7 linked regions of the Nothobranchius furzeri genome follow. Each later gene encodes a partner of the first gene's protein in a complex. Links are inferred from orthologs where the notes say so. Each region holds a gene or a part of one and is shown in the gene's direction. Other genes may lie near its edges.

The links.
Region 2: cwc27 (region 1) and bud13 share a complex: the UniProt entries of both Homo sapiens proteins name them as parts of the activated spliceosome. The link is inferred for Nothobranchius furzeri from reciprocal best matches to the Homo sapiens genes CWC27 and BUD13.
Region 3: cwc27 (region 1) and rnf113a share a complex: the UniProt entries of both Homo sapiens proteins name them as parts of the minor spliceosome. The link is inferred for Nothobranchius furzeri from reciprocal best matches to the Homo sapiens genes CWC27 and RNF113A.
Region 4: cwc27 (region 1) and rbm48 share a complex: the UniProt entries of both Homo sapiens proteins name them as parts of the minor spliceosome. The link is inferred for Nothobranchius furzeri from reciprocal best matches to the Homo sapiens genes CWC27 and RBM48.
Region 5: cwc27 (region 1) and snrnp40 share a complex: the UniProt entries of both Homo sapiens proteins name them as parts of the minor spliceosome. The link is inferred for Nothobranchius furzeri from reciprocal best matches to the Homo sapiens genes CWC27 and SNRNP40.
Region 6: cwc27 (region 1) and cript share a complex: the UniProt entries of both Homo sapiens proteins name them as parts of the minor spliceosome. The link is inferred for Nothobranchius furzeri from reciprocal best matches to the Homo sapiens genes CWC27 and CRIPT.
Region 7: cwc27 (region 1) and gpkow share a complex: the UniProt entries of both Homo sapiens proteins name them as parts of the minor spliceosome. The link is inferred for Nothobranchius furzeri from reciprocal best matches to the Homo sapiens genes CWC27 and GPKOW.

Annotation. Positions count from the first base shown.
Region 1 is NC_091746.1:63,235,856-63,239,530, reverse strand, and holds part of cwc27 (spliceosome-associated protein CWC27 homolog), read left to right. Parts: intron 1-788; coding exon 789-868; intron 869-954; coding exon 955-991; intron 992-1,066; coding exon 1,067-1,239; intron 1,240-3,675. UniProt on the Homo sapiens protein: As part of the spliceosome, plays a role in pre-mRNA splicing. Probable inactive PPIase with no peptidyl-prolyl cis-trans isomerase activity. As a component of the minor spliceosome, involved in the splicing of U12-type introns in pre-mRNAs.
Region 2 is NC_091750.1:44,767,809-44,771,982, reverse strand, and holds the start of bud13 (BUD13 homolog), read left to right. Parts: upstream 1-1,233; 5' UTR 1,234-1,277; coding exon 1,278-1,417; intron 1,418-1,541; coding exon 1,542-1,632; intron 1,633-2,144; coding exon 2,145-2,229; intron 2,230-2,297; coding exon 2,298-2,534; intron 2,535-4,174. UniProt on the Homo sapiens protein: Involved in pre-mRNA splicing as component of the activated spliceosome. As a component of the minor spliceosome, involved in the splicing of U12-type introns in pre-mRNAs.
Region 3 is NC_091745.1:10,008,329-10,012,463, forward strand, and holds rnf113a (E3 ubiquitin-protein ligase RNF113A), read left to right. Parts: upstream 1-1,340; 5' UTR 1,341-1,394; coding exon 1,395-1,500; intron 1,501-1,800; coding exon 1,801-1,880; intron 1,881-1,952; coding exon 1,953-2,051; intron 2,052-2,306; coding exon 2,307-2,414; intron 2,415-2,504; coding exon 2,505-2,614; intron 2,615-2,696; coding exon 2,697-2,803; intron 2,804-2,893; coding exon 2,894-2,983; intron 2,984-3,055; coding exon 3,056-3,149; intron 3,150-3,218; coding exon 3,219-3,325; intron 3,326-3,411; coding exon 3,412-3,479; 3' UTR 3,480-3,543; downstream 3,544-4,135. UniProt on the Homo sapiens protein: Required for pre-mRNA splicing as component of the spliceosome. As a component of the minor spliceosome, involved in the splicing of U12-type introns in pre-mRNAs. E3 ubiquitin-protein ligase that catalyzes the transfer of ubiquitin onto target proteins.
Region 4 is NC_091759.1:22,195,767-22,200,086, forward strand, and holds rbm48 (RNA-binding protein 48), read left to right. Parts: upstream 1-1,443; 5' UTR 1,444-1,458; coding exon 1,459-1,587; intron 1,588-1,738; coding exon 1,739-1,929; intron 1,930-2,000; coding exon 2,001-2,146; intron 2,147-2,230; coding exon 2,231-2,760; intron 2,761-2,855; coding exon 2,856-2,918; 3' UTR 2,919-3,841; downstream 3,842-4,320. Other genes in the region: peroxisomal ATPase PEX1, read right to left, coding at 914-1,021. UniProt on the Homo sapiens protein: As a component of the minor spliceosome, involved in the splicing of U12-type introns in pre-mRNAs.
Region 5 is NC_091759.1:20,973,018-20,977,355, forward strand, and holds the start of snrnp40 (U5 small nuclear ribonucleoprotein 40 kDa protein), read left to right. Parts: upstream 1-1,450; 5' UTR 1,451-1,583; coding exon 1,584-1,694; intron 1,695-2,318; coding exon 2,319-2,448; intron 2,449-2,521; coding exon 2,522-2,615; intron 2,616-2,707; coding exon 2,708-2,873; intron 2,874-2,984; coding exon 2,985-3,107; intron 3,108-3,427; coding exon 3,428-3,548; intron 3,549-3,621; coding exon 3,622-3,704; intron 3,705-3,849; coding exon 3,850-3,911; intron 3,912-4,005; coding exon 4,006-4,109; intron 4,110-4,183; coding exon 4,184-4,233; 3' UTR 4,234-4,338. Other genes in the region: zcchc17 (zinc finger CCHC domain-containing protein 17), read right to left, coding at 377-515. UniProt on the Homo sapiens protein: Required for pre-mRNA splicing as component of the activated spliceosome. Component of the U5 small nuclear ribonucleoprotein (snRNP) complex and the U4/U6-U5 tri-snRNP complex, building blocks of the spliceosome.
Region 6 is NC_091756.1:43,772,426-43,776,884, reverse strand, and holds the start of cript (cysteine-rich PDZ-binding protein), read left to right. Parts: upstream 1-1,496; 5' UTR 1,497-1,637; coding exon 1,638-1,653; intron 1,654-1,811; coding exon 1,812-1,877; intron 1,878-2,160; coding exon 2,161-2,215; intron 2,216-3,001; coding exon 3,002-3,105; intron 3,106-4,459. Other genes in the region: pigf (phosphatidylinositol-glycan biosynthesis class F protein), read right to left, coding at 829-1,056. UniProt on the Homo sapiens protein: As a component of the minor spliceosome, involved in the splicing of U12-type introns in pre-mRNAs. Involved in the cytoskeletal anchoring of DLG4 in excitatory synapses.
Region 7 is NC_091755.1:41,971,884-41,976,105, reverse strand, and holds the start of gpkow (G-patch domain and KOW motifs-containing protein), read left to right. Parts: upstream 1-1,367; 5' UTR 1,368-1,578; coding exon 1,579-1,874; intron 1,875-2,031; coding exon 2,032-2,192; intron 2,193-2,421; coding exon 2,422-2,567; intron 2,568-4,222. Other genes in the region: membrane-associated guanylate kinase, WW and PDZ domain-containing protein 3, read right to left, coding at 353-435. UniProt on the Homo sapiens protein: RNA-binding protein involved in pre-mRNA splicing. As a component of the minor spliceosome, involved in the splicing of U12-type introns in pre-mRNAs.

The DNA of each region.
Region 1 (3,675 bases):
TCTCACATTCACACACTGCTAGTGATGGTAAGCTACTTGTAGCCACAGCCGCCCTGGGGAGGTCTGACAGAGGCGAGGCTGCCATTTGGCGCCGTCGGCCCCTCTGACCACCACTAACACAGGCGAGTTGGGTGAAGTGTCTTGCCCAGGGACACAACAGCAGGATACCCCTGGCGGGAGCTGGAATTGAACCCATGACCCTCCGATCATGAGGCAACCCGCTCTACCACCTGAGCTACTGCTGCCCCAATAAATAATAAATTACCCACACTTGTGTAGCACCTTTCAGAGTCAAAGGACTCCAAAGCGCTTTACACTGTAGTGCATCATTTATCCATTCACACACACACATTCATACACTGATGGTGATGAGCTACATTGTAGCTTCAGCTGCCCTGGGGCGCACTGACAGAGGTGAGGCTGCTGTTCACGGGCACCTCCAGTCTCTCTGACCACCACCAGCAGACAAGGCAGGTTAAGTGTCTTACCCAAGGACACAACAGCAGAAATCTCGGTCGGGAGTCAGGATTGATCCTTCAACCCTCTGATTATTGGACAACCTGCTCTGCCTCCTGAGCTACTGCTGCCCCTGCTTATCCACTTCCTGTGTATGATAACAGCCATGAAACTCACGCAACAGGAGTGAGAAAATTACTGTTTGCTTATAAAATGGCCAGCAGTAACCTATTTTGACCACAGGATGTCAGTTTTACATCATTCTTACATATTTCACTTATAGGTTTATGTGTAAGTAAAAAAAAAAGTGTCAAATTTTTCCATTTCTTCAGACATTTAAAGGAAAAAGCAAAAGCAGCCACGACCTTCTGAAGGACGATCCCAGACTGAGCTCAGTTCCAGCTGTTGATAAGTATGAGTCGTAAATTATTAATTTATCACCACTAACCTGGAATTCTTGCTCTCTAATGCTAAAGTCGAGTTCCCTTACTTTTAAAGAGACAAAGAGAAGGGGGCATCTGGAAACGACAGTGATGTAAGTGTAAAGGAAAACTCAAAAGATGTTCACAGCTCTGAGTTTGTGTTTTAATTCCACCCTTTCTTTCTTCAGTCAGACAACGAGGCATATGATGATGAGGATGACGCATGTGCAGATGAAGAGCATGATCCAGAAAGGAAGAAGAAGATAAGAGAACTGGTCAGTAAAAAGCTCAAGAAAGAAAAAGGAGCCGAGAGCTCAGCTGAGCCCAGAGAGGAGGAGCCTGGGAAGAAAACCAGTCGCAGGTACGGTTTTTAGTTAGAAAAACTTAGCAGGTTCTCCACATTCTGCTTTAAAACATGTAATATACTACTATGGCCTGATGGGGGCACTGCTGGCCTGTTGAACACATAAGCCACATCCTAAGAACTTGTGGGATGAATGCAAAATAAGCTTCACTAACAAAGCAGTCAGTCTTCAAAGAAACACATTTAGACTCATTTCTATGACTCAGAGGGGAAATAATGTGTTCATCAATGTCTGTTCTGTTTTCTTTTGACGAGATCAAGACTGTTTGTCTGAGCTATAATTTAAAATCCTGGTATATGCATCTTAAAATCAAATGAGACCGTCTAAAGTTCATTTCAGAGAAAGTTTGATAAGTTTGAGTTGGAAATAACTGTTAGCTGTGCCAGCCCTACCTTTAAAGTCTACGTAAACATGAAGGATAAAGAGGGATTTTTATCCAGGTCTTAAAAACAATCTTAAGCTTGTTAATCAAACCACTCTGTGGCAGAGAGTAACCTCCTGAACATCCATCTTTCGTCTGGTTGGGTTCGGATGGGGTTGTGGTTTGTTTGCTAAAATATTTTGATGTGCACAAAGGAATGTGTTTTTTACAGTTTAAAACAGCTGCTATGCAAAACGCCATTACTTAGAGGAACACATTTTGTTTGTCATGTGGAGCTGGAGAGAGAATATGGAAAAAATGTAATTAATTCAGTTGTGTAGGGAAAACAAGCAAACTGCTGGTGATGCTCTTTAAACTGTAATATAGTTTAGGTTGGGTGTTTTTAAGGCACCCTTATTGCTAAACTCCTGTCTCAGTCAGAATTTTGTTTGTTTTTCCTCCTGCTTTGGAAATAAATACAAAAATTAGCAAAAAAAAGTTGTTAAAGTTTCTTCATAAACTATAACAGGGTACCCAGCAGCTCTCCAGCTCTATATCTGACCCATATATACCACTATATCTGCTGATATTTACATGCTTACCATAGATCCTCATTCACAGTAAACCCAGTGATACCTAATGTCGTTTGGGAAGAGCAGAGTTGACCTCAGAGTTTATTGGCTGTTTTTAGCACTGGACATCTTGCCACACTTTCCTCCTTGCACCCTGCTCCTGACACGTCTCCCTGCTGACCTCAGGCAGCACAGAATACTGAAGTCCTGACCCAGGTTGCAAACTGTGATCAGTTTTTTAGTCAGAAGTTTGCAAATTCAGATTTGTTGTTGCCGACTTTTGGTGATGTTAGACGGACATCAACAGCTACAACTATTACTCTTTCTCTGCTTAAGTCATTGTTAGTTTTAAAACACAGCTCTGCTTTTATTTTCTTTCAGCTGAAAAGTCAAACAGTGATGAAGTCACTTCACTTCAGATATAAAATGTCTAAACTATTTAAGACTGACATTTTGATTTTCCACTGGTTCTCATCAGAGAAAGGCCCAATTATAATCTAGCAATATTTAGAAACTTTACTCTCATATTCTTAATTGAATGCACTATTGGCTACTTTTTGCCATGCTGATGGTTTATTTTGGGGTCATCATTCTTAGAGGTCAGAATTTAAAATATATTCTTTTACCACATTTGGTAAAGTCATCCGTAGTCCCTGAAATGTCAAAGTTTCACAGCCCATAAAGGGCTATCTGCTAACACACATCCATCCATTTTTGCCCGCTTCTTTGGAGTCGGTTCGCGGGGGCAGCAGCTTAAGCTGAGAGGCCCAGACTTCCCTCTCCCCAGCTACTTGGGCCAGCTCCTACAGAGGAATCTTAATGTGTTCCCTGGCCAGCCGAGAGACATAATCCCTCCAGGGAGGCGTCCAGGTGGCATCCTTACCAGATGCCCGAGTAGGAATGGGTACCGAATTCGGTACTTTTTAAGGTATCGACCGAATTCCACAGTACCGACCGAGCACCGATTCACTTCATTTGAAACGGTGCCTCATTTCGGTACCGTCCTTCACAACGAGAACTTGCCTAGACAGCTGCGCATGCGCAAGAGCGTTACGTCGTTGGTCGCTGCAAGCGAGTTGTAAACAGAGCAGCATGGTAGAAAGAACGCACGCTAAAGCTTGGGTCCACTTCACTAAATGTGATGGGTAACTGGGTGATGATGAAACCAGCGACAATGATCTAAGTGAGGCATCCTCATCCTAATCTGCTCCGGTAGGTAAATAAAATGTTTAAGATAACATTAGCTTGATTTGTTAGCTTCCGTTTCACTAATGGTGCGTTTGCTTTCTCCTCGGAACTCCGAAATTCCGACTAGAAGAACATGAACGCGCTCTAAAGTTTGGCTTCACTTTACTAAATGCGACGGGTGATTGGGTGAAGATGAAACCAGTGACAACGATTTAAGTGTGAGGCATCATCGTTTAAATCTGCTCCAGCAGTTAAGTAAACTGTTAAAGATAACATTAGCTTGATATGTTAGCTTCCTATGCCACCATTGT
Region 2 (4,174 bases), on another chromosome or scaffold:
TTTGTTTACTTTTGTGCCATGTCTTTTAGGTCTCAGAGGATTTGTTGGGAACTGAAAGAGTTGTGTGATAATCTGGGTTATGAGTCTGAGAGCTTTGACATTCAATCACTTTTATATAAAAGTGATTTGAACTGCACAATTCTTAATGGCTTAAAACTAAAGTACATTAAACTTATTGGGGGTAAAATTGGACCATTTTGCTGTTTTTATTTAAGTGTGTAAAACAGATCTAAACAAATGTTTCTACAGAGCAGCTGCTACATGAGGTTGTGATTGAGCCACCATACACCACGAGATAAAGTTACAGTCATTAATGAGGTAGCAAATAAATAATGAATACAAAAAGGTGCAACAAGGAGGCAACAAAAACTTGTTAAAATATGATAAGAACAAATAAAAAAGATGCAAAACATCAAAGTACATTGTGTGTGTGTGTGTGTGTGTGTGTGTGCGCGCGCGCGTGCGTGCGTGTGTGTGTGTGTGTGTGTCAGAGAGAGAGAGATAGACAGATCCAGGGCCTAAATAAATCATTATGATGACATCACTGAGTTCCTCAAGCTAAAGATCTTAAATCATCACTACTTTTGAGTTACTGCTGGGAACAATAACGTGTTCAGTGTCTATCGAGTAGAGTCAGTTTCTAAATGGAGCTAAAGCATGTCTCCTACAGCACTGACAGAATGGTGATGGTGATAACAAATGTCGTCTTTGTTTCTGCAAATAGAATTAAAGTAAACATTAATTCTTCTTTTTTTTCATTATAAAAAATCTAATATTGTTTTACTGTGCCATCCTTATTTTATCACACAAAATTGAATTGTATTTGTTTTAATCATTTGTATTTCCAAACAAGAATCAAATGACCACTTGTTTTTTTTTATTATTATTTGTATTATTTTTTTTAATTACTGATTTGGTTCCCTGATGAAAGACTCCTATTATCAAAATTAACACTTGTTAATGTGATGCTTTTGTGTCCAAAATGAGGGAAAAAATGTCTGTTTGTCAGTGTTAATTATTCGTTTTATTTTTCTATTTGTTTTATTTTATTTATTAGCAAAAATTAGATGGAAAATCAAGCCATAGCTCATCCATTTTTACATCAAAAAGATAAGCGGCTTGTTTAGCAATTGAGTATTTTCAGTTTTACAACAAAAGCCAGATTATGACTCTTGTGGTATTTTTTAAAAAGAAAAATATATACCATAACAAGGATGGTGGAGCGGTTTACCCCTTTTGATCCTCCGCGCTATCCGTAGTTTCGGACAACAGTCAACATGGCTGCCTCCAATGGCGTCAGTAAAGGAGCTGAGCTTTCTAAAGCTGAGTACCTCAAACGTTATCTGTCAGCCAGCGAAGATGCTAGTAAATCAAAAGGAAAGATAAAAAAGAAACGACGCAAAGTTCCTGAAAAAGGGTGAGTTTGTGAGAGAGTTCTATAAAGTTTCTTTTCACTTGTATGCTAGCTGTTTCGCTAGTCACTGTGTCAGTTATCGCTTTTTTGTTACTTGGTGACATTTATTATTTTCCTTTTATTTCAGACTTAAAATAGTAGATGATGATATAGACTGGAGACAGATGGTCACAGAACCGAAGGAGATTGAAGAGGAGGAAGAAGAAGAAGCTCCTGTGGTAAACAGCTAGCTAACGTTAGCTTTTTCGAAAGACCTTAATTCGATTCAAACGCTTTTAAAGCAAATCTCTCCCTTCAGTAATCTCTGGCAATATTAAGACAGGCGTTCAGTTTTAGACTCCATACATTGGGTTGAGTTTATGAAAGTGTATTCACAAGTTTTTAGACACTAAAACTTGATCCCAAGTGGGTCAAAATACTTAGAATGTTTTTGTGCCATTTTAATAATTTTTGTTTAAAAAGATCAAGAGGAAGATATTTTGCACTATAAACAGGGCTAAACAAGTGCAAAATTATAGTTTTTTTTCTTGCAACAAATAATAATTTAATTTGTGGAAAAAAAATCTTTTTGCGTAATCTGTCCATATAATCCAGGAGGGAAAAAAAGCTGAATTCTGACATAAACAGAGACAAAAAAACACAAACTTTTATTTATTAGAAGGTTCTAATGAGTGATGTTTCCTCAAATGTTATGGAAATGCAATATGGATAAATTTGTGTGCCCACTAAGATTGCTGAATTCATTGACGAGCGACCAGAGGAGGTGAAACAGATGGAAGTCTTCAGGACCAGCAACAGATGGAAAATAGTTGGAGGTAAACGTGAAACACAAACAAAATCTGTTCCTTTGTTTAAGAAAATCATCATCTAGTCTTCCCTGTAGCTGATGAGAACGAGGAAGATGAAACAACGGGGGAACGTGTAGAGTCTTTGGAATCTAGCAAAATTCACCAAGACTCACCGGAGAGGTCATCAAAAGACATGAGACACAATTCTCCCATCAGAAAAGCAAGACATGACTCTCCGGACACATCTCCTCCAAGGAGAGGTCGCCACGACTCTCCAGACTTGTCACCTTCAAGAGGGCATTCAGGGAAATCAGGAAAGGGCCGATATAAAGGTGAGTGATAAACGTTTTTTTCTGTGTCTCTCATGGACAGGCATTTGTTTTAGCATCCTGTTCTCCACCACTGATTGAAGCATATTCAGGGTTTTTCCTGCATTCAAATTCGGCCGCCCCAGCCTGATTTCACTCTGCCCCCAGCTATATGGGTGTTATTTTAACTGCAGTTGCAGCGTTACGCCCCTACAGGGGCGCTGTATCAGCAGCGGCGCACCGAAAAGCACTAAAACCACTGCAGACAAAGAAGATCAAAAACTGCTTTTCTCGCTAGTTACATATCTATGGTTGGTGTTATTGACATCCTGATTTTCCCCCAGGCTCTTCCATATCAGAGCAGAGCTGTACAGTGTGACGAAAAGAACTGTCTGTGCGTGTCTGTCTATGTTTAAACGTAGCACTGGTGCAACATCTTTGAATTACTATTTTCCCCAGAACTTTATTGAACAAAGTTAGTTGCGTGTAAGAAAAATGCTTTTTACCGGCGCAGTGTGGTCATCTGGATGCAGTGGAGGAAAATACAGGAACCAGCAAAGGCAGAACCGGTCCAAAGTTTGGGATCAAAAGTGCAGCTACACGCAGATTGGCTAATGCTAAAGCTAACGGTTAGCAGTCTCACGATCAAGTGGTGCACAGAAAAATATATGATGGTAAAACTAAGAAAGACTAAAATCTACAAGCGGATGAAAAGTCCCCACCATCCTGTTTATTCTGCATCCTGCAGCGCTATGGATCAGAACCGCTGCAGATACGAGTCACATTACTGCCACAATGCTGCAGTCGCCATGGTAACTCTGTCTCCCTATCCCACCCTGGGTGGGACTGCGACCGGTGAAGGCCATTGAATCGTTTCCAGGAGTCACTGTGCCCTCTAACCCACATACCTCCTTCCCCTGTCCAAACGGAGGTGACGAGCGCTGCTTATCGCGGCTGCATGCACTGATGTGTGGAGAGTCCCAGACCCTACCACCCCACCTAGTGGACACTTATGTTGTGTAATGTCTGAAGTCTGTTGCATTTCTGTCTGAGGTGTTTTTTTGCATAGCAAAGCTGCCCTCCCTGTCTCTGAAGTGCCTTTTTTCCCTCCACCTGACCCAATCCTTATGTAAACCCTCCGGGTCGCGAATGACCACAGTCACCAATTCTTGTCATGTGTCTATGCCTATGTATGTATGTCTGATCTCAGAATTGTGTGTACTGAAACTCTAATTTCCCTCTGGGATTAATAAAGTATCTTTGAATTGAATGGAACGGCTATGGCAAGCCGTTGTAGTATATAATTAACAGACGCTTCTATCTTTCAACATAATTTGAACTGGATTATTGCCAACCCGTACATAATAGACATGCCACCATTACATTTTTAGCAGCCAAAATTAAATGTTATTACCATTTCTGATACAAATGCATATTAATGAAATGCATTATATAATTATATAAGTATCTCGGGGTCTTGTTCACGAGTGAGGGTAGGAGGGATCGGGAGATCGACAGGCGGATTGGTTCGGCGTCTGCAGTGATGCGGACGCTGAGCCGATCTGTCGTGGGGAAGAGGGAGCTGAGCCAGAAAGCCAGGCTCTCGATTTACCGGTCGATCTACGTCCCAATCCTCACCTATGGTCATGAGCTTTGGGTAATGA
Region 3 (4,135 bases), on another chromosome or scaffold:
TGTGTGTGTGTGTGTGTGTGTTCAAATAATAAAGTTAAAGTCCCATAGTCATCATCACACTGGTGAAATTCATCTCCACATCTGACACATCCCGATGGAGAGCAGGGAGCTGCTGCAGTGGCTGCGCTCAGTAATTTGGTTGTTTAACCCCCTAATGCAACCCTTTAAAGCTGAGTGTTAAGCAGGGGGGGGGATTGGGTTCCTTGTTAAAGTCTTTGGTATGACTAGACCGGTATTCAAACCCGATCTCCCAATCCCAGGGCAGACACCTGATAGTGGCCTAAATTGTTTTATATCTGAAATGTTTGAGAAGAAATTACAAACTTGTTAGTTAAATTTCACAATCAAAAAGAATTACTTGATGTTCCTCTGAGTCTACAGCAGAGGGACAATAGGCCACCAGAGGGCGTATGATCTGATGTGTTTGTAATGCTGCTAATAGTTTTTGTTTTAGCGCGTTAATTTAATCTTGTTTAACACAGATAATTATGATACATTTATTAAGCTTCATCGGTTGTGTAGTTTATATAACTGCAGACCTTCTGACCTCTTGTTATTTCTTTTATTTTGAAAGGATTTATAGGAAGTGCTAATTGGTTATGTGTTGTTCAACTTTATGTGAACACTGTAGTAACCGCCTCTGACCGCCAGAGGTTGGAAAAAACCCTACTCTCGAAAGCCAGAAACTAATTGAGTTCTTGTTATCAAGTTGACATAAACAATACATTTAATCACTTATAGACAGATTGTGTTGGCATCAGTTACGTCAAAAGATTATTTAGACAAAAAGCAGTTAAACATAAAATTTTCTTACAAATTTATGTCATTCGTTTTTATTTATTTTTCTTTCTTTTTTTGTTTTTTGTTGTTATGGTTGTTGTTGTTGTTGTTGTTCTTGTGAAGCGCCTGCTCATGATTATTATCTTGAGCGGTCTTGTAAAAGATCGTTTCTTCTTTTTATCAACGACATTTCTAATGGCTATTTTTGTGTATTTTGTTTATTAATCGTTTATACATTTAGTGTCCAATCAAAATGCGTTAATTATTTTTCTGTTTAAAACTAAAATTACCTTTTAAAAATTATTTCAAGTACTACGGAAGAGGATTAAGGCCACTGAAAACAAAGAATAATGATTTAAATCTGAAAATTCTGAGATTAAAGTCAGAATTATCTTTCTGTTCATTTTTTTATTGTATTTTTCTTTTGTTTTCATTGGCCCTCGTCCGTTCTAACATAATATTTTAGGTTTACCATTCTAGCCAGAGCCGCGTTGACTTTGATTTATGGACGGTTGTGAATCTCATTTTGGCAGAAGGAGCGCGTCACGTTTCGCCTCCAGAACAACAGGGGGCGCTACTGCTCTGGCAGCCACTGTTCTTACACCAACAAAAACATGGCGGACCCAGACAAACCAAAAGCAGCTACTTGTACGTTTTTGTTTAAAAAATCCACCAAGAAATTCTCCGGAAGAAAACGAAAAGCAAGTGACAGCGATAAAGGTAGTAAACTATCATTTAGATACATTTCCTTGTAATTTTCTCCTAACTAGCGTTGTCTGTCCTCTGGATAGAATTGATAGCGGCTTCTCATCAGGGAGATCAAAACCGCGACCCAAACAGTTTGTTTATATTATCCTCCATAATAAACAGGACCAAAAACATTATGGTTTATCACCTGAAAGCTACATTTAAACAAAGAGGGGAAGTAACCTAGTTTAATTGTAATAGATTTTGTAATGTTTGTTTACACCAATTGTGTGTGTGTGTGTGTGCGCGTGTGTGTTTGTTTGTTTGTTTTAGATGGCGATAGTGACACTGAACAGACTGCTGTGGTCAGAAAAGAAAAGAAGGATGCTCGAGTCAACCCCATGATTCAAAAGGTAGAGCAGGCAAGCTAATAGATACTTAGTTATGAAGCAGCAACGTGAATGATCTATGTATTCTTTGTTCAGACAAAAAAAGTGGAGAGGGACGCTGTGTCTTCTAGTGAAAGCGAGGAGGAAAAGGGAGACAAAAAGATAACGGTTGCTTACAAGTCTTCCCGATCAGCGGTGAGTTCAGACTGCATTCATTCAAAAATGTCAGAGCCAGACAGTACAAGTCAAACACTGATCTTTTTTCCATCATGGCTCAACCTGGCTGTTGAGACAAAACATACAGGGGCTGAAACTTCACCAGAAAAGCAAATTTTAACATTATTTTACAATCTACAGACCATTCTCATCCACGTACACATGACTATGTGCCCTGAACAGTTGTTTTTATTTACTTTAAAACTTTCTACTGTACCTTGCCTTCATAAAAAGAAACCCGAGGGGCCTGAAGACATGGGTGCAACTGCCACTTATCAGCTGGACACAGAGAGAGACAAGGATGCTCAAGCTATTTTTGAGAGGAGTCAGAAAATCCAAGAGGTAGGACATGCCGCTATTGGTTAATATAAAATGAGAAATAATCAAAATCTCACCTTCGTCATTTGAGCTTTCCCTCCTCTGTCTCATTAGGAGCTAACAGGTAAAGAAGATGATAAAATATACCGTGGCATCAATAACTACCAAAAATTCATCAAGCCTAAAGACACCACCATGGGCAATGCCTCTTCAGGCATGGTCAGGTGAGGCAAGAGATATTCACATGCAGTCAGAAGATGTTGTTCACCTATAGATGCTGAAGGTTACGTTCAATCTGTGCTACAGAAAAGGACCGATTCGAGCTCCTGAACACCTGAGAGCTACAGTCCGGTGGGACTACCAACCGGATATTTGCAAAGACTACAAGGAGACGGGTTTCTGTGGATTTGGGGGTTGGTGAAAACAATCTGAACTCTTAAAACGTTCCTACTGTGAAGTCAAAGGTTTTGTTTATTAATCATGATTGCATCCGTTGCCATTAGACAGCTGCAAGTTCCTCCATGACAGGTCGGACTACAAACACGGCTGGCAGATTGAGAGGGAACTGGAGGAAGGGAGATATGGAGCAAATGGTGAGTAAATAATCGAACTTGAAATCTTCTCTTTTGCTGGCTAGACTAAGTTTCTGATGTGTTTTCATCTAGATGACGAGAACTATGAGGTGAGCAGTGATGATGAAGACTTGCCCTTCAAGTGCTTCATCTGCAGAGAATCTTTTAAAAATCCCATCATCACAAAGTAAGTACTGCGATGGTTTCTCTCCTTCAGTCCTTGTTTATTACCGGCTGGTAATCGCTGTTTCCTTAGGTGTAAGCACTATTTTTGTGAGAGCTGTGCTCTTCAGCATTATCGCAAGTCAAAGCGCTGCTACGTGTGCAACACTCAGACCAATGGTGTCTTCAACCCCGCTAAAGGTAAATGCATTTGCTCAAAAACATCCAAGAGGAGCAGAAACCAAAGTAAACAGTCACACTTGATGTTTTATTGTCATTTATTCTAGAGCTGATTGCCAAGATGGAGAAACGCAACGCTTTAGCCGACCAGCCACCGTCAGACGAAGAAGATTAGAACACGCTTTAGAACCCTCTCTGTGTTTGTCTGTGTACATTTCTAATAAAGTTCATGGCCTCGGTTCCTTTTGTACAATCATGTTGAAACACTGAAGCAGGCCTGGGTTTGTAGTAAAAGTTTTACATTTGTAACACGTTGCTTTGTCCAAACTTTCAAATATACATGCAGACAAAACCAGCACCAAGAAAACATTTACATCTGACGTCAGTAACACCCAGAGAGCCGAAGAAAAGGCTAACTTTTACGCTCTTAATGCTAAACTAATAATTACAACCTGTGCAACAAAAGAGTCTGAACCGTGAGACGATGCATCTGCTGTAGCAGACCGGAGCTAAGAAATGCTGTCAGTCCTCAGAGAGGACTGCTAGGTGCCCTTATGGTCGTCTCCTGGAGCAGACGGACCAAATCGTGTTAACACAAACGGTGGAGCGTCTCCTGGTAATATTACGTAGCAGCATTTCATTGATCCGTCTCCTGACCTTTATGGTTTGGGCTACATCTACCTTTAGAAAACTCAAGAGTTGTCCTTTTGGTTCGTGGGTGTGTGTAGAGTACAATCCGTGTAAATACCTGTGTGAGATAAACCAGTGCAGAGCAAGAATCCGCAAAGAGAACAAAAGTGAAGTGAGTCACCAACAAGAGGGTAGATGACT
Region 4 (4,320 bases), on another chromosome or scaffold:
AAGCATTTTATGTGTTAAAGGACCATGGCTGCAGTGTGTGTGTGTGTGTGTGTTTTAATGCAAACGATGCAAGGAAAGGGAGAGAGAAAATGAATAGGGAAGCGGGAAATCAGTGGATCACGGAAATGTGGAATAAGTGCAAAGAGCAGAACAAGGAGAGGGTGGTGAAGGTCCCACCAAAGCCTGAACAGGTGACTTTTCAGCTGCTTTTTAAAGGAGACCACTGAGTCCACTGATCTCAGGCTCAGGGGGAGAGAGGTCCACAGTCTGGGGGCCACACCAGCAAATGATCTGTCACCTTTGACCTTTAGCCTGGTGCTGCACAACCAGTTGGCTTTGATCACTGGACCTCAGGGACCTGCTGGGGGTGTAGGGACTAAGAAGATCACCAATGTAAGATGGTGCTTGTCCATGTAAGGCTCTATAGACCAGAACCAGGATCTTGAAATGAACCCTGAAGTTGACTGGCAGCCAGTGAAGCTGGAGGAGAAGCGGGGTGATGTGGGTGCGTTTGGAGGACTTGGTCAGAAGCCGAGCACAGGCGTTCTGAACCACCTGTAGACGGTTCAGGGAGGTTCTGCTCAGACACGTGAAAAGAGAGTTACAGTAGTCTAAGTGTGTCTCTCTAAGTCTCTAATGCAGTAAAATAAGGCAAACATAGATGTCAAGGAAGCAATTCACCTGAAAATCCTAAAAACCAGCAGCTGTCGTTGATTAGGTAACTGTTTGCTTTGCATGTTTATAAAATCTCAAACAAAAGTACTTTCATCTGAGCATAAGACAACCCGGCTAGTCGTTTAAAAACTGTCATCTGTTTATGCTAGCACAGACATTATACATTAAAACTAAGTCTTAACGTACAGAAATGATCTAAAAAGCAGTAAATCAACATGAAATTAGTTAGCTAACCTACCTCGTTCAAGGAAAGATGCGCTACCAACTTGGAAGGGAGGTGAAGAAAGCAGTTTTTTGTGTTGTTAAAAACGACACGAACGGCTTGAATTCCCTGGTTGCTAAACATAATTTTCGCATTGCTAGCTAGCTTAGCATACACCAGGCAGAGAGAGCAATTGGATTTATCGATGTGCTCTGTGGACGATGGACTCCTCACCAGGCAAAAGTAGTTGATCTTTTGCTTTCAAAATAAAAGAGTATTCTAACAGGCAGCGCGACGGTATTCACTGAACTGTAAGCATTTATTTTGAAAGTGTTAAACCGGAAGCGCAGACGCATTCACTGAACTAAAAGCGTTTATTTTGAAAGTGTTAAACCGGAAGTGCAGACGCATTCACTGAACTAAAAGCATTTATTTTGAAAGTGTTAAACCGGAAGCGCAGACGCATTCACTGAACTAAAAGCGTTTATTTTGAAAGTGTTAAACCGGAAGTGCAGACGCATTCACTGAACTAAAAGCATTTATTTTGAAAGTGTTAAACCGGAACAGCATTTAGAATAAGCATGGCGGTCCCTGTAAACAACAGCTCCGGTTGTTGGAAAGTTCCTGACGTTCACAAACATCACGAACAGCAGAAAGTTTGCATTTCTCGACCAAAGTATCGAGAAGGAAGAAGAGCTAAAGCGGTTAAGGTGAGACAATCTTAGAAGTTATTAATTTCAGCTAAAATGTTCATAAATTCTGTAAAGAAGACACACAAGATTTGCTTTAGCTTAATTGGTAACATCATTCTAATACTGCACTGAACGCAGGAAATGTAACTTTAGTCTTGTGAATTTCCAGGTGTACACCATTAACCTAGAGTCCCGTTTCCTGATGGTACTGGGAGTCCCAGCTATCGGTGTGATGACGGAGCTGGTCCAGCTGTGTGCCCTGTATGGTGTTGTGGAGGAGTACAGACCTCTGGACGAGTATCCGGCTGAGGAGTTTACAGAAGTCTACCTCATCAAGTTCCAGAAGCTAACCAGCGCCAGGTACGATTTATTCGCTCCTCATACTTTACTGGAAATACCTGCTTAATCGTTATCGAATGTTTCTGTTTCAGAGCAGCCAAACGCAACATGGATGAGAAAAGCTTCTACGGCGGTGTGCTGCATGTGTGTTACGTCCCAGAGTATGAGACTGTAGAAGACACCAGGCTAAAGCTACAGGACCGGAGGGGTTATGTTATGAGAGCAGCTCGGAGCAGAGGTATCGTTTAACATCATGTTTGATTTAGTTCTGACCTTTAAATGTTGCTTTTCAATGCTTTAAAACAAATCTTCTCTTACAAAGCAAAAGCGGCGCACAGCGAAGGCTCCGCATCATCGACGACTGCATCAGACATAAACGTCAGACACGATCAAACCTCTAAAAAAGAATGTGCAGAGGATGCTTCAAACCACAGCCAACATGCAGAATTCCCTCCTCTCCCATTACCTCCATGGGAGCAGCATCCCTTTGGACATAACAGTCCACATGGGATCAGCGCACAGGAGGACAAAATGGGAACTTTACATGATGCCATCATAAACTTGAAACAGCCCCAAGTGGAAAAGTTAAGCGTTAACCAAGCCTCAGAGAGAGACCACGACACAGAACACAGACTGACCTCAGATCAGGCTTCAGCATTCAGGTTTCTCCCAAGGTCCTCGCACTTGGAGATCAGGAAACGCAGAATGGAAGAGGCTCCCGAGCAGTCGGCAAGTGTTTCTGGAGGAACCGAGACCCTGATTGGACCGAAATTACCAGAACCACCTAAACTGGACATGAATGATGACTCGTTGAACACAACTGCCAGCCTGATCAGGAACACAATGAAACAGGTCATTGTTGATTCAGTACTTTAATAATTTCATAAAAAGTAAATCAGCCTTAATGAAGGATTAAAACATGTGAATCTTTTTTTTTTTTTTTTCAGGTGGGATCTGCTCCGGGTTTCAAAGCTGTTGAGAAAAAGACAAAACCACGTCGTCGGATATGATCTGGACAGGTGTCTAGATGGGAGTCTTGGAAGAAAACCGACGCTCCCACTGCTTCGGAAAACTGTTTATCTCATCGGCTGTTGTATGCTATGATACCAACCTGTATAAAAAAGGTTAAAAAAAACAGCTATTATGTAAAGAGTGCACAAATTTACATTTAGAAAGCTAAAGAAATACTAATACTGTGTTTCCTATGTGCATGTTGCCGTGGCGCGCCACTACGGAAAAATAAAAGCTGCCACACCTTCAGAAGTAAACAAAAAAAAAACTTCAAACAACGTACCTTCAGAAACATTTTTTTTGGATATACATTAAAACAATAACGAGACATATATAGTCTATATTTGTGCATGTGTACTAACCATAGTCACAGTTTAAAATAAATTTTATTGCAACAAAACTTTAAACTGCAGTTCAAAAAGATCTACCGACCGCTAAATTAGCGAGGGCGCACCGGTGTGGTGAAGTCACCTGAGGACAAAACAGGTGATGCGCTTCGCTCCGCAGCAGCAAAACGCATCGGGCACAAATAAAAGACAGGAAGCATAAAAAGGACACGAGTCGACATAAACAATCGTGTGTTATACGTGGAGACACTGAGAATGTTACTGTCGCCATGCTCAGGACACCGCTCTGGTGCGCGCCAACCATCAGGAGGTGAGCGAAGGAGAGACAAGTGGAGAGGCAGAACAAGGACCAGCATGCATAAGTGAGCATGATGAGGGAGAGAGCAGCAGGGAAGCGGTAAGAGGGAAGAAAAAAGTCAGCACAGAGAATCTGGCTGGGACCCAAAATGGACAGAAATCAAGTTCCGCCCATGGCTGTAATCAAGGTGGGAATCAAGCAATACAAATTATTTCAAGGTAAATATATTTTTACATTTTTTTTATTTAATTGTAATTAAACAATAAGCTGATTTACACACCTGCGATGGACTGGCTCTCTGTTCAGGGTGGCACCAGCCCCCAACCCCCCACCCCCGCGACCCTACATGGACAAAGCGGGTTCAGACAATGGATGGATGGATGTTTTACACACACCTGCAGGAATGTTCATCGAAAAGCATACTGCTCGTGTCTCAGAGCGACCGTCTCCGCACGTCTCTCCACCACGGTTTATCAAAATCGTAGAGGAAACCCTGAGCATGTTATTTTATCTCACACTGTCAATATTTTAACTGCTAAAACTTTCTGCATATTAGGAAAATCTTGAAATCCTTCACATGGGTGCAAATTTACCACCAAACAAATAAAATGGTCACAAAAACATTAGAACAGTACTAATTAAAGAAAAATAACAGCCCAAAATAGACTTTTACAAAAACAACAATTATATTATCATCAATATATATGTGTATGTGTATAAATATATAATACATATGTGTATGTATGTATATATATA
Region 5 (4,338 bases), on another chromosome or scaffold:
AATAAATACTCAAATTAGAACCCAAACCTTTTATCTTTTTTCCATCTAGTGGCAAAATATTTTAGGGCAACCACTAAAATTAGAATTTATCATCAGAGATAATGAAGTATAAAAAGTTTGGGACAAACTTCTTCCTATTTTAGCCGTTGATGCTTCCCAGTGCTGCATCTGCTACTAAAATTATAATATATGGTATTAAATGAAAACGTTTTTTTTAAATAAAAAATATAAAGTTAGCTGTAGTCATCTAATATCTCCTATTTTTCTTTTTACAGATCCATTACTGCTTTAAAGGACTCACTTCACTCAGCTGGTTAATATTACTAATACTGGTATTTCATTTTTAAAGATTACAAGCTCTCAGCCTTCTACCAACCTTCCTTCCTGTAACCAGGCAGTCGAACAAAAGCTCCATATGTTTGCACTGAAACCACCTCTCCCTTGGCGATGCTGTACATCGGAGGCAGACCATCCAGCCCGGCTGGTTCTCGACTCGAGCGGTCACGGTTGGACATCGTCTCAATCTGGGCAAACAGTTGGAGGATTAAATATATTTCAATTCAATAACACAACACAGATAAAAGACGAAAGACGAGGAAAAGTTAAAGAAACCCAAAATAAAAGCAATATTGTTCCTTTTACAAAGTAACAGAATAAATTTAAGTATTTATATTGTGAATAAAAATTATTAAATAAAAATCCATAAAACTACTTTCTACGACAACTATTATGTTTTCACAAGTCAGGAGTAGGCAATAAATCAAGTTCAGTTGAAGTTATCCTTCAATTAAAATGTTTTTTCTTCGTTTTCATTAAGAATTAAGCTCAAATAACCCAGTTTAATAATATTAAAACTAGACTAAAAAGACCAGCCATGGTCTAAATTTTATTTAAACGGTAACTGCATATTTTCTAACACTCCATACATGTGAAACAGACTGAGAACCAAACACAAAAAAATAAATAAAAACAAAGAACACAGACAAAAATTGCAGCTGTCAGATTTAAAGAAACTAGGCTAATCTCAAAAACGAACAAATAGAATTATTAATATTGTAAATCAGTTTTAATTTTCAAAACATGGATTTATCTTACCTCAAACTTCACTTTCCATTACATTAATTCGAGCGGAGTAAAAACTATAGGAGACAATATCTCTGGAAACATGAACAGGATAAACGCAACACGAGCATTGGTGTTTACATAAAACCCTCTAACCTATTCCTGTTAAACTGCTCTATGATACATTAGTAAACCAGACAATTGTGCTATAATTAATATATTTTGCGTAATGTGACTCTAACTCTTAAGAAATAAAAATAATTGCAATACCTTTTCCACCGACTAAACTGTGCTAGTTATACTTCCAGGTCAAATTGACGCCAGGAAGAAAATCAGCCAATCACTGCAGCCTGCGCAAATTTCCACCAATCACGAGCTTTGAACCCGGAAGTACTTCAGTGTCTGTCTTCTTTGGTGGTTTTGTTTCCTCAGACGTCTTTCGTCGAAGACGTCCGTTAATTTTACTAAGTTTTAGCTTTGCATTTACTCTATTTAGCCGCTTTTTGTTAACTTTCCCCGCAATGATTGAACCTCTAAAGAGACCCGGAGACATGGCGATGGTTCCCACTGCGCTGAAGCGGCCACGGATGGAGCTAGTAGCGGCGGCTCAGTCTCAGCAGCTCGTGGCCACGGTAACGTAGCCCTGGTGACATCCGACTGCGTTTACATTCAAGATTAAATCATACTTACCACCTTTATAGTAGTTATGTTTTTAAGTTTGAGAAAAGGGCAAGCTATGCTAGCCGGGGACTTATGTATTCATTAACCGGACCATGTAAGCAGATTTAGTCACGTTTTCATGATTAATGTAAACATCAGAATAGTTGACAATAGAATTCAATATGCAAAAAAACTATTTTCAAGAGCGTGTTGGTTATTGTAATTATGTATTTTATTGGTAACAATATTTATTATTAAAACAGCCTTCCTTTTTAATATTTGATTCAAATAACAAAGCATATATAATAAATAAATAAACTGTCAAGATGATCAGAGTTCACTTGTGCATCAAAGGTAAAATATATATACACAGATATCACCTTTTATCATAATGCAAGCTTAAGGAAACACCAGATTGTAATTGCCACTGGTGCAATTAGGATCTACTTCCAGCTCCTACATGATTAAAGGGAGCATTTACTTCACTCTCTTTGCTAGATCTCAGCAAGTCATCCAGCTCGTATGCATTTAAAGTAAAGTACCACTTGTTGTTTCTGCACCATAATGCTGCAAACCTAAATCACTGATCCCCATAGGGCCATCCACGCACCTCCAGCATGCAGGCTCCCATCATGTTGATGTCTGGCCATGAGGGGGAGGTCTACTGCTGCAAGTTTCACCCCAATGGAGCTGTGTTGGCCTCTTCAGGATTCGACAGACTCATATGTAAGTTTGTGTCAAACAGTAGCAGACATATGTTTGTTAAAACCGCTTTAAAATCTCTGTTACCATGCTGCAGTGTTGTGGAACGTGTATGGAGACTGTGAGAATTACGCCACCCTGAAGGGTCACAGCGGAGCGGTGATGGAGCTGCATTATAACACAGATGGCAGGTAGAGACGGTGGAATATGATCAACTAATATCTGGTGGATTATTGCGGAACTTGAGTCAGAAGTGTGATACAGAGGTGTCTGTGTGGTTCAGCTTGTTGTTTTCAGCCAGCACGGACAAGACTGTTGGCGTGTGGGACAGCGAGACAGGTGAGAGGGTCAAACGTCTGAAGGGACACACCTCCTTTGTTAACACCTGCTATCCAGCTCGCCGAGGTCCTCAGCTGGTCTGTACAGGAAGCGACGACGGGACGATCAAGGTCAGGCTGTTTTCTGGGTGTTTTGCTGTGAAAATGAGGTCCAACACACACCGTTCACACACACCTACATTGTTGCACGTTTTGTTTAGCCTGATGTTTTTTGTTTTCTAGCTGTGGGACATCCGCAAAAAAGGAGCCATCCACACCTTTCAGAACACCTACCAGGTTCTGGCCGTGACGTTTAACGACACCAGTGATCAGATCCTGTCTGGAGGCATCGACAACGACATCAAGGTTAAAAAAACAGTTTTTCTTAAAGGGACTCATTAAACTGTTTATCTTGAAGAAAGTCAGACTAAACATTTTAATCCCTTTAACAACAGCAGATGGTTGCAGTGATGCTCTGTTTCAGCCATTTTAAAGTTGATTGACTGAAGATGTTCAGTGAGATTTATTGTCAGCCCTTGGTTGTTTACATTTTTGTTTGCTTCAACTCCAAACGCAAGTTTATTTTTTGTTGATTGTTGCAAAAATGTGAAATGTCGAAGGCAACAAATCGGCTCCAGCCTAAAATTCTCTCCTGGTCGTTGATCTGAAAGCTTTGTGTTGCTCAGGTGTGGGATCTGCGACAGAACAAGCTGATCTACAACATGCATGGACACGGGGACTCTGTAACCGGGCTCAGCCTGAGCTCCGAGGGGTCATACCTTCTGTCGAACTCCATGGACAACACTGGTATGCTCGGCTTCTGATCCTGCTCATCTGTGCTTGAATCGCATCCCTCAAAGAGTCTCGCGTGTCTTTGCAGTGCGAATTTGGGACGTGCGGCCGTTTGCACCCAAGGAGAGGTGCGTGAAGATTTTCCAGGGTAATGTTCACAACTTTGAAAAGGTAATCTTCACTAGCAGACAAATGAACAATTCACTTCTAGGTCAATCTGAGAAGTCGTACATATCTGGACTAAAGAAAACCGCTTTTTAGCTGTGAAAGCTCCGGGTCTGTGTTCTTCTCATGTCCTCTTTTCCTGTTTATTCAGAACTTGCTGAGGTGCTCCTGGTCCACTGATGGCAGTAAAGTAGCCGCAGGATCAGCCGATCGGTGAGAAACGCTTTGGTGACTTTTTAAACCCAAACGGAGTAAAGATAAGGCACTGAGAGCCACTTTTGTTCCCCGCTCTGTGCGTCTGCTACAGATTTGTGTACATCTGGGACACCACGTCTCGCAGGATCCTCTACAAGCTGCCGGGCCACGCCGGTTCTGTTAACGAGGTGGTGTTTCACCCAGAGGAGCCCATAGGTGAGCGACAGAACAGGAACCGGAACCAAACACAAGAAAAAGTCACTCATTTATTCTTTTCTGTGTCTTTGCAGTGCTGTCTGGCTCCAGTGATAAACGTCTGTACATGGGTGAAATCCAATAAGGTGTGTGTGTGTGTGTGTGTGTGGGTGTGTGTGGGGCGGGGTCTGCCTGTCTCTCAAGCTTTAGTTAAGACTAAACTTGTGTTTTTTACATATTTCTTTTGAAT
Region 6 (4,459 bases), on another chromosome or scaffold:
TTGTGAACTGGCGCTTTATGAAAAAATTAAATTTATTTGCCTCAAAGCAAGAATGCTGCAGGTTCGAATCCTGCCTGCATGGCCTTTCTGCGTGGAGTTAGGATGTTCTCCCCATGCTTGTGTGGCCCTTCTCCAGTAACTTGCTTCCTCCCATGGACCAGACACATCCATGAAAAGGGTTCAATAATGACTCTAAATAGTCTCTAGGTGGGAGAGTGTATGTTTGAATGGTTGTTTGTCCTTCTATATGACTGGAGACCTGTCCAGAATGTCCCCTAGCTCTCATCTGATGATGATTAGCGCTAAAGATGAGCCGTTTAGATCATGGATGAACCGAATTAAAATGAAATGAAACTCGGATGGTTTTGTTAGCTCTCTTCCCTTCATAAAGGACATAATCCTTTGAAAACTGCATTTAGTTTAGTTTACTCAAGTTCTCTTTGCCTGATGTTGAAATTTGTTTGATCTGAACCATTTAAGTGGGACAAAAAATTAAACAAATAATATATGAAATGTGTTAAGAGACAATTACTTTTTTCACACCTAAATAAAATAGATCATAACAAGAAACGCTTACAATTTCTACTTTTTCATCACCTCACCTTACAATATCCAAAACTTACCTTCATTTTCACACATCTATTAAATTTAATTAAAAAGCAAGTTGACTGATGTCCATTTCCCTGTCCAAATAATAATAATATTAATAATAACAAACGAATACATTTTGTAAAATTCATAAGATACCTTCACATATCACATAATACATTTATATGTCGAACATAATCAACAATTCACTTTAAAAACATTATCTAGTTGTTTTGGCACCTTGTATCCCAGTGTGTGCTTTTTGGTGGGCGGTGAGATGCCGAGCAGCCAGAAGATAGCGACGCTGACACAGGTCACCGTACCGGACACCGCGTAGACCCACAGCAGGTGAGTCCCATACACTGAGAAGCCCGGGACAAACACCGCGGGGATGACCGTGGCCATGAACACCGAGGCGGTGATAATCGCGTGAGTAGACGCCATAGCTTTAATTTCATGGTCCCACATGATGAAGACGTGAACTATTTACAACAAGAACCCGATAACGATGCGGGGAAGTCAAATAAAACACCTAAAAAACGTAAGGTAACATTGGGAAACTGTCAGGTCTATGTATTTCTTTTCCGCGTTTCCGTAAACACGAAGACGTAAGAACGTCCGCTTAATTTCACAGTAAAAGTCTACTGCGCACAGACATCTTAGGTGAATGATGAAAAAACATCCGTTTCGAAACATATTATCATAGATTATCGGGTCAGTTTATTTCAATTTCAAGTGAAAAAGGTGTATGTTTTACTTGTTACTCAATCTCTGCTAATGAATACGCTTGGGTTAAATAAGGTAAAAGTGCTTGACTTTATCAAACATTTATTTTGAAGAACCTATAAGCAAATAAACGGGAAGTAGTAAGTTATAGTTCGCGTTGCGTAACTCAATTGTTTTAACCAATCACAGAAGATGTTACTCGTTAAAGCAACCAATGAAACCTGTCATTTGAAATGCCTCAGCTGACCGGACGTTTACATTAGCAAAGCAAGCTAAAGCTAACAAACGATCATTTCTACTGCGTCATTCGACACACCGCAAAGATGGTCTGTGAAAAGTGTATGTATGTCATTTGCTTCTGATTTTCAGACGTATTGTTCATTTTAAAATCTGATGAACGTTACTTTTGTCAGCGAAAGTCTCAAATGCAAACTAGAAGGCCAATAGTTTAGTTCTTATTGTATTTTCCTCCATAATTGTTTTGTTTTATATTTTAGGCGAGAAGAAACTGGGAAAAGTAATTACCCCCGACACTTGGAAGGACGGAGCACGGAATACAACAGGTGACCCGAGGAATGCGTAGTGAAATGTTTTTTTGCCATCAGTATGATAAATTGCTGTTTGTTAATTATTCTAGATATGAGACTTGTTGTCTTGTTTACAAGTTACTTTTGAAAATGTAATCATTGTTTCTATATTTTTTCACGTTACTAGCAGGTTTAGTCCTCATTTGGTTGATCACGCCATAATATAAATTAATTGGTGTTTATTTTTTTTATATTAGTATAGGTATAGTAACATTTAGATGTCCGTGTTTAACAAGTTTGTCTTCTTTCTTTGTGTCAGAGAGTGGAGGACGTAAGCTAAATGAGAACAAGATTTTGACATCCAAAAAAGCCAGGTGAGTAAAAACAATTTATAGAAAAAAATAAACTTTAATTACAACAATCTAATGAATGTAAATACAAATATGAGAAGTCAGAGAAAATATTCTAAACGCATTAATATACTTATCTTAAAATTACCTTCTTGAAATTGAACCAAAAACTGTTATTTTACTAAAGTTCAACCTTATCATATAAAACTTTCTCACCACCATATTTGCTTGGGCATACATTTTGCTGCATTGGCACAAATCACCACATGAATCATCATTAATCATCTGTCCTTAGTATTTTACTTTATGAACCACGTTTAAATCCTGATCTTCTTCATTTCTTGCAATCATAACAGTTGATTTTTACATCATAGCTGGAACACACTCTTAAGTAACTGTTGCAAACCTGCTCTGAAGAGTAAAAGACCATCAAATCTTCAGCAGTCATGAGATGATTGGTCATTATTTCCCCATTCATCCACTCTTATGCTCTCTTAGTTAAATAAAACTTAGATCGTCCATATACAAGTTAAAGGGAATAGGTGACAATATCTGGTGAACCTTATTAGTAACAGAAAAGGAGTAGCTCTCATTTGGTTTTTAGTCTGATTGTAAGATTTGTATAGAATATGAGGTGACACCTTGTTCTTAAATCTTCCTAAAAAGCCCATCATAATGAACTCTTATCTGAACTATTCCTCAGAAGAAGTCACACAACGGTTTAGCTACTGTTTTTCAATGTTGTATATTACTAATTCAAAGTGGTCAGCTGATATAACTGGTCATGTGTGTAACAATTATTTTCATCAGGTTTGACCCTTACAGCAAGACTGGCTTCGCAATCTGCAGGATCTGCAAAAGCTCAGTTCATCAGGCTGGATCTCACTACTGCCAGGGCTGCGCTTACAAGAAAGGTATGAAGTGATTGTGCTGAAGATTTAGTTTTGTGTCACAAAAACGCTACAGCATTTCTATTAGCCCTTTTACATAAAACACACACACACATGCTCTCTATTCAACACCCTGCTGAGTTTTTCACATGTAATCATGTCACCAACAACATTATCCTTTTCCTCTGAGACAAATCCATCTGCATCCTATAGGAAAACGTGACAGTAACTGGGACGAGTTGTGAAACTGCAATGTTTGTCTGTTGTTGAACAATTCAACTTGTGACTTTTCTGCTCAGATGTTTTCATTTTTCAGTGTGTCTTAGTGTCAGAATCCGGAGAAAATTACAGCCTCACATCAACAGAGACTGTACTTGCATAATCTAGAGCCATTCTCGATAGGTTTGTTTGAATACAGTGTGTTTGTACTGTATTTAGGCTGAATGATGAAATGTAAACAGGGCTTTATCTAAAAAGGCATATCTTGATGAACATTGAAGCAAACTGTCTTAGTTGCAGGAAATGAAAGAGTGGAGTGGCCATGTTTCAGATGGTTCATCAAACATGGAAGATGCTCAGTGAAACAAATCATCTTTATAGTTTGCTGAAGTTTTCTTTTTTATTATAATGATTTCAAGGCCTACGTGTCCCATTGAACCTGCTGCCTTTGGTATGTCTTCATGATGATGCCTAGGTAGACTCACAATTAGGAATAGGGCTGCACGATATTAGAAAAACCTGCGATATTCGATAACAGTGTTTAATATTGCGATATCGATATTACTCACGATAAATGAACAAATACTAAAGTATGCAGTGTTGATGTCGTCTGGCGTGTGACGTCTGCTCTGGGTTCAAAGCAAACAAAACTAATGCATGAATTCCATTACAACATAACATTTTTATTGCAAAAATATGCAGCTGCACCTGCTACTGTATTAGTAGCAAAACAATAAACTGCATGCATGCAGTTTCTCAGTGACTTTAAAACATCACCTCCACCATAAAACTTTTTCTGATGCTCCAAATGCAGAAAAACATCCCTTACCAGGGTTTTTGAATAAATAAAAAAATATCAGAAAATAAGTTTAAATGTTAAATAATAGTTAACATCACTTAAATGGAACAGCAAATTCTCTCATTGCTACTGAGCATTTTCTCCACTTATGTGGTTATGATATAAGGCTGTTGCTGCTATTGGGAAGTGAACTGTGCTGGGCCAAACTAGGAGAATATTAAGATTTTCTGAGGGAAAGAGAAAAACAATTGTCTACCTTTCAGAAGAGGAACTGGCAAAAAACTACATGGAAAATATGTGAAAACGTTTGTTTTTAACCCCAAATTGAACAAGTTTACCTAGATCTTAAAATGCAGCTCA
Region 7 (4,222 bases), on another chromosome or scaffold:
GAGCTGGGACACACCCAAAACAAACACTCTCACACATACAGAGGGCTGCAGGGCACTTGTGCACGCTCCTGTATGCACATGCATGCACACACACCTGGCTGTGAACCACAGAGTATTTGAATCAGTCTATTATTCATGGCAAAGGGGGTGCAGGTGCACTGAGCACGAGCTTCTGTTTAGTTTTCATTAAGGCAATTTGTGAGGAAGGCGATTGAAACCGATAAAGAAAATAGAAAAGCTATCAAGAAACTCTCAAAACACACACACACACACACACACACACACACACACACACACACACACACACACGAAGCAGATTCTCAGATTTCTCATATTTAGACTGAATACTGACCTGCCTTGCCGCTGACACACACACATTCTCTTCAAGCAGTTCAGCCTTTCAAAGAGGATCCGTTTGAACGCGTCTATATACATTGACCCTGCCGAGGTTAAAAAAGGAGCAGCACTTTAATAAATAACGCGACCTGTTTGGTTTGGAGCAACAGCAGGAGCTGGAGGAGGAGCGAGGAAGAGTCTGGAGTCTGGAGGAGATGAGATGAAAGGCGATCAGCCGGAGCCAGCGGAGAAAGTCAGAGCCGATGCGCACGGCTGACGGGATGTTTGGACACTAGTGATGCTCTGGGAGCTGAGGAGAGCGAGAGAGCGGGGAGAGCAGGAGAGAGAGAGAGAGAGAGGAAAATAAAACACACACACACACACACACACACTATCGGGCAGATTTGACGGCGGTCGCAGATAATTTCAGCAGCTGCTACATTGCTGCGAGCAAAAAGGAGAAAGGAGGAAAAAACAAGAAGGCGTGGATGGTTGTGACCCAAACGGGAGGTTTTAACTTGTGCAAAGAGAACAGTGCGTTTCTTACCCCCATGTTCACTCTCTGCGCCTCATCGTTTATCCATCATGCATACAGAAAAAGCCCGAATTACCCCCCAAAAAATCATACAAATGTCGGGTTCAGCAAATAAAGGTGTCGCTGAACTTCAGAGGTTGCGCAAAAGCAGGTGCGGAAATAGTAATAAGGTTGCGCTCATGCTGCTGACATGCAAATGCGGAGAAAAAAACAGCAACATTAGGCTACATGGCTAATGAAAAGGTTAACCTCACAAGTTCAGGCGCTCAGGAGGCACTGGGAGGAGGAGTTAAAAGCCCCGCCCACATTCTGCCTAAAACACACCTGCATCAGCAGCACCAGAGTCCGCTTCACTATCTGCGATTTAAAGGAGTCAGACCCACGCATTAATCCAACTCATTCAGCTCTTGTTTCTTTTTATTACAGGAGACTAAAAAGCTCCAGATAAACTATAGGGGTTTACAAGATGACCGCTTCAACGGAGCGATGTTTCAGCTTTTCAAAAATAGACCTGCAAGTCTAGACATGTTCACAATGAAAGTGTTAAACATCAGTACCTTTCTATTTTAAATCAAGTGTCAGTGTAATTACCGTCTGTTTAACTACTTTAAATGATTTGATATATTATTTAGTTACTAATAACCAACGGATTTCACAAATAAATCAGTAAATCTCGGATTGCCTGCGACCTTTAAAGAACTCTTATTATGAGGCATGATGGGATCTGTAGTCAATTGCAGCCTAGAGTGGTTATCGGGCTCGTTAACGCAACCCCATCTCCCAGAATGCACTGCGCCCTCATCGTTCTTCTTCCACAAACAATCATGGCGTCGCACGGAGACGGTTCAGGTGCCGCCGAGAACCAAGGAGATAAAAAGGCAGCGGCGGTATCGTTTGGTTTCACAAAAACTGTCAGCAAATTTAAACCCGCAGCCGGCGGCATTCCAGCCAAGACCGACGAGAAGGATTACCTGACTGGAATCGACCGAAATGAGTTACAGAGGTAGGCTAACCGCTAGCTAGAGGCTAAAGCTGTCAGTGGTTTGTAAACGGAGTGGTGACGTTTGAACTCTAAATCTGACTGACCACACTTTTACGTGGTGTGTGTAATGTATCTACCCGGGACACTTTAAAGATTTAACTTTTGTCTTCCGTGGCAGTTCAAAGCCAACCGAGAAGCCCAAAGAGCTCATCATCCCATTGATCCAGAAGAACCGCTGGCACAAACCGGACCGAGCGGACCCGAGTGGAGGCTCAGCGCGCGGCTCGGTCCAAGACAAAGACTCGGTGGAGTCTCAAGCTGTCAAAGAACTCATTGAAGGTTTGTGGTTGAAAAAGATGCAGAAGTTGGACAATGAATGGTTGCGTGTCAAAATGTGTACCCCCTCGCAAACGGAGCCCATCCTGGAAGTGTCTTCCTGCTAGACTGTAAAACAATTAAGAGCACGAGCTCCATGGCCGGTTTGTGTGTGTATTAGACAGTTTTTACTTTCCTACCCAACACTAAGAAAACCATCTTTATCAGTGACGTTGTGTGTTTCTGCTTGTAGATTCACGGAGGCAGCTGGAGCAATGGCAGAATGCAGCAGAGTCGAACAGAAGCCTGGACCTCTCCATCCCTCTGTTGATGCAGAACAAAGTCCCTGAGGGTTTTGAGGATGGAGACCATGTAAAGGTGGACCTGCGGCCTGAATCTGTAAGTGGGGACAGAACGGGCTGTAAGAGACTTAGGAGTATGCAAAGTTTACCAGACGAATGAGAAAAGATAGAAAAATTAATTATTCACAATTTTGTTGTTAGAGCAGCTTAAGTCAAGCCATCTGTTATAGTCAGTAATGCAACAAACCAGAACCTTTAGATTTATAAAACAAATGGAATAAACCTTTAAAAGGTTTAGTAAAGTACAGCAAAATTATTCTTTATCTTAATGATTAATTTAAAGCACGTGTACATGCTACTGCAGCAATCTGACACCCGGATCTACCAATATCCATCAAAAGTAGAGATGTAAGAAAATATCGATATGGCAATATATCGTGATATTTTTCCCAGCAACATTATATCGATATTCAAAAGCCGTGTATCGGAAATATCGATGTGGCAATATATCGTGATATTTTTTCCTGCGATTATTACATCGATATTCAAAAGCCGTGTATCTAATTCCTGAAAGAATTTACATGCAAACATTTGTGTATTTTCGTTTTGCGCAATTCAATCAGCACCCGCTAGTTGGCAGCAGTGTGCAGCGGGTTTTGTTTCCACCACTGAAATGTAAATCCCTCCATCATGGTTCAGATACCTCATGTTAAACATGTTACGTATCAGTTTGGACTGTTTATTGAACATTCTTACAATAAATTCAGTTAAAAAATTGCTTGTAACGTCTGACTGAATGTATCGCAATATATCGTGAAATATCGTATCGTCTCCCCTGTATCGTGATATGTATCGTATCACAAGAATTTCAAAAATACACATTCCTAATCAAAAGGCATGCTTACATCATCTTCGTCAGCTTGTTAAAGGATTGTACCACCTCACAGACGTTTGGTTGTGATGTTAGCAGCAAACCATGAAAAGTAAAGTTCGACCGATAATGGTTTTTCTGTTGCCGATACCGACGTGTAAAGGTTACGGACAGCTGATGGACGATTAGTGTTGCCAATGTTCTGTGCCGATTTTCATGTCTAGATGTTTTCCGCCCTATTTTCATGCTAATATGTCACAGGTAACACCAGTAAATGCACAAAATTTCAGAAGCTGAATCGGTTTTTGAACACTAAATTTAACTGTTAAATTTTAATCTTGTGCACTGCTCAGTGTTAAAACCAGACGTCTCACTAAAGTTAATCAAACAAATCAGGATACTGACCGAGTATTAAATGCTCAAAACTGGTAAACAAACTCTTATTTTTGGTGGAAATAATTTTTAGAGCATTAATTAAAGCAGATGCTATTCAGGAACATAAAAATACAATTAAATCCTGCAGCAGTGCCGGGCTGCCTGGGGATGTGCCTGACTTAAAACCGGCTAGGTTGTGTAATTGACAGTGAAAACTGTAAAAACCACGTTAAATCCAGAAAAAGCTGACAGGTTGAAGAAATCAGCAGTGACAATTTCATCAGTAACAAACGAATCTTTAAACTTCACTTCCTGACGGACGTGAAGGAAGGCCGTCGGTCTGAGCTCGTTATCTGTCTGAGGATGCTACGGGAAGGTTGTGATAGAATCTTCTGGACAGGTGCCTCAGTGAGGGCACGAAAACACCTGACAGTACAAAACGTCTGCTACTGGAGAATGGCTGCTGAAATTTGAGTGTGTGAAAATGCTGAGTACAACAATGTGTG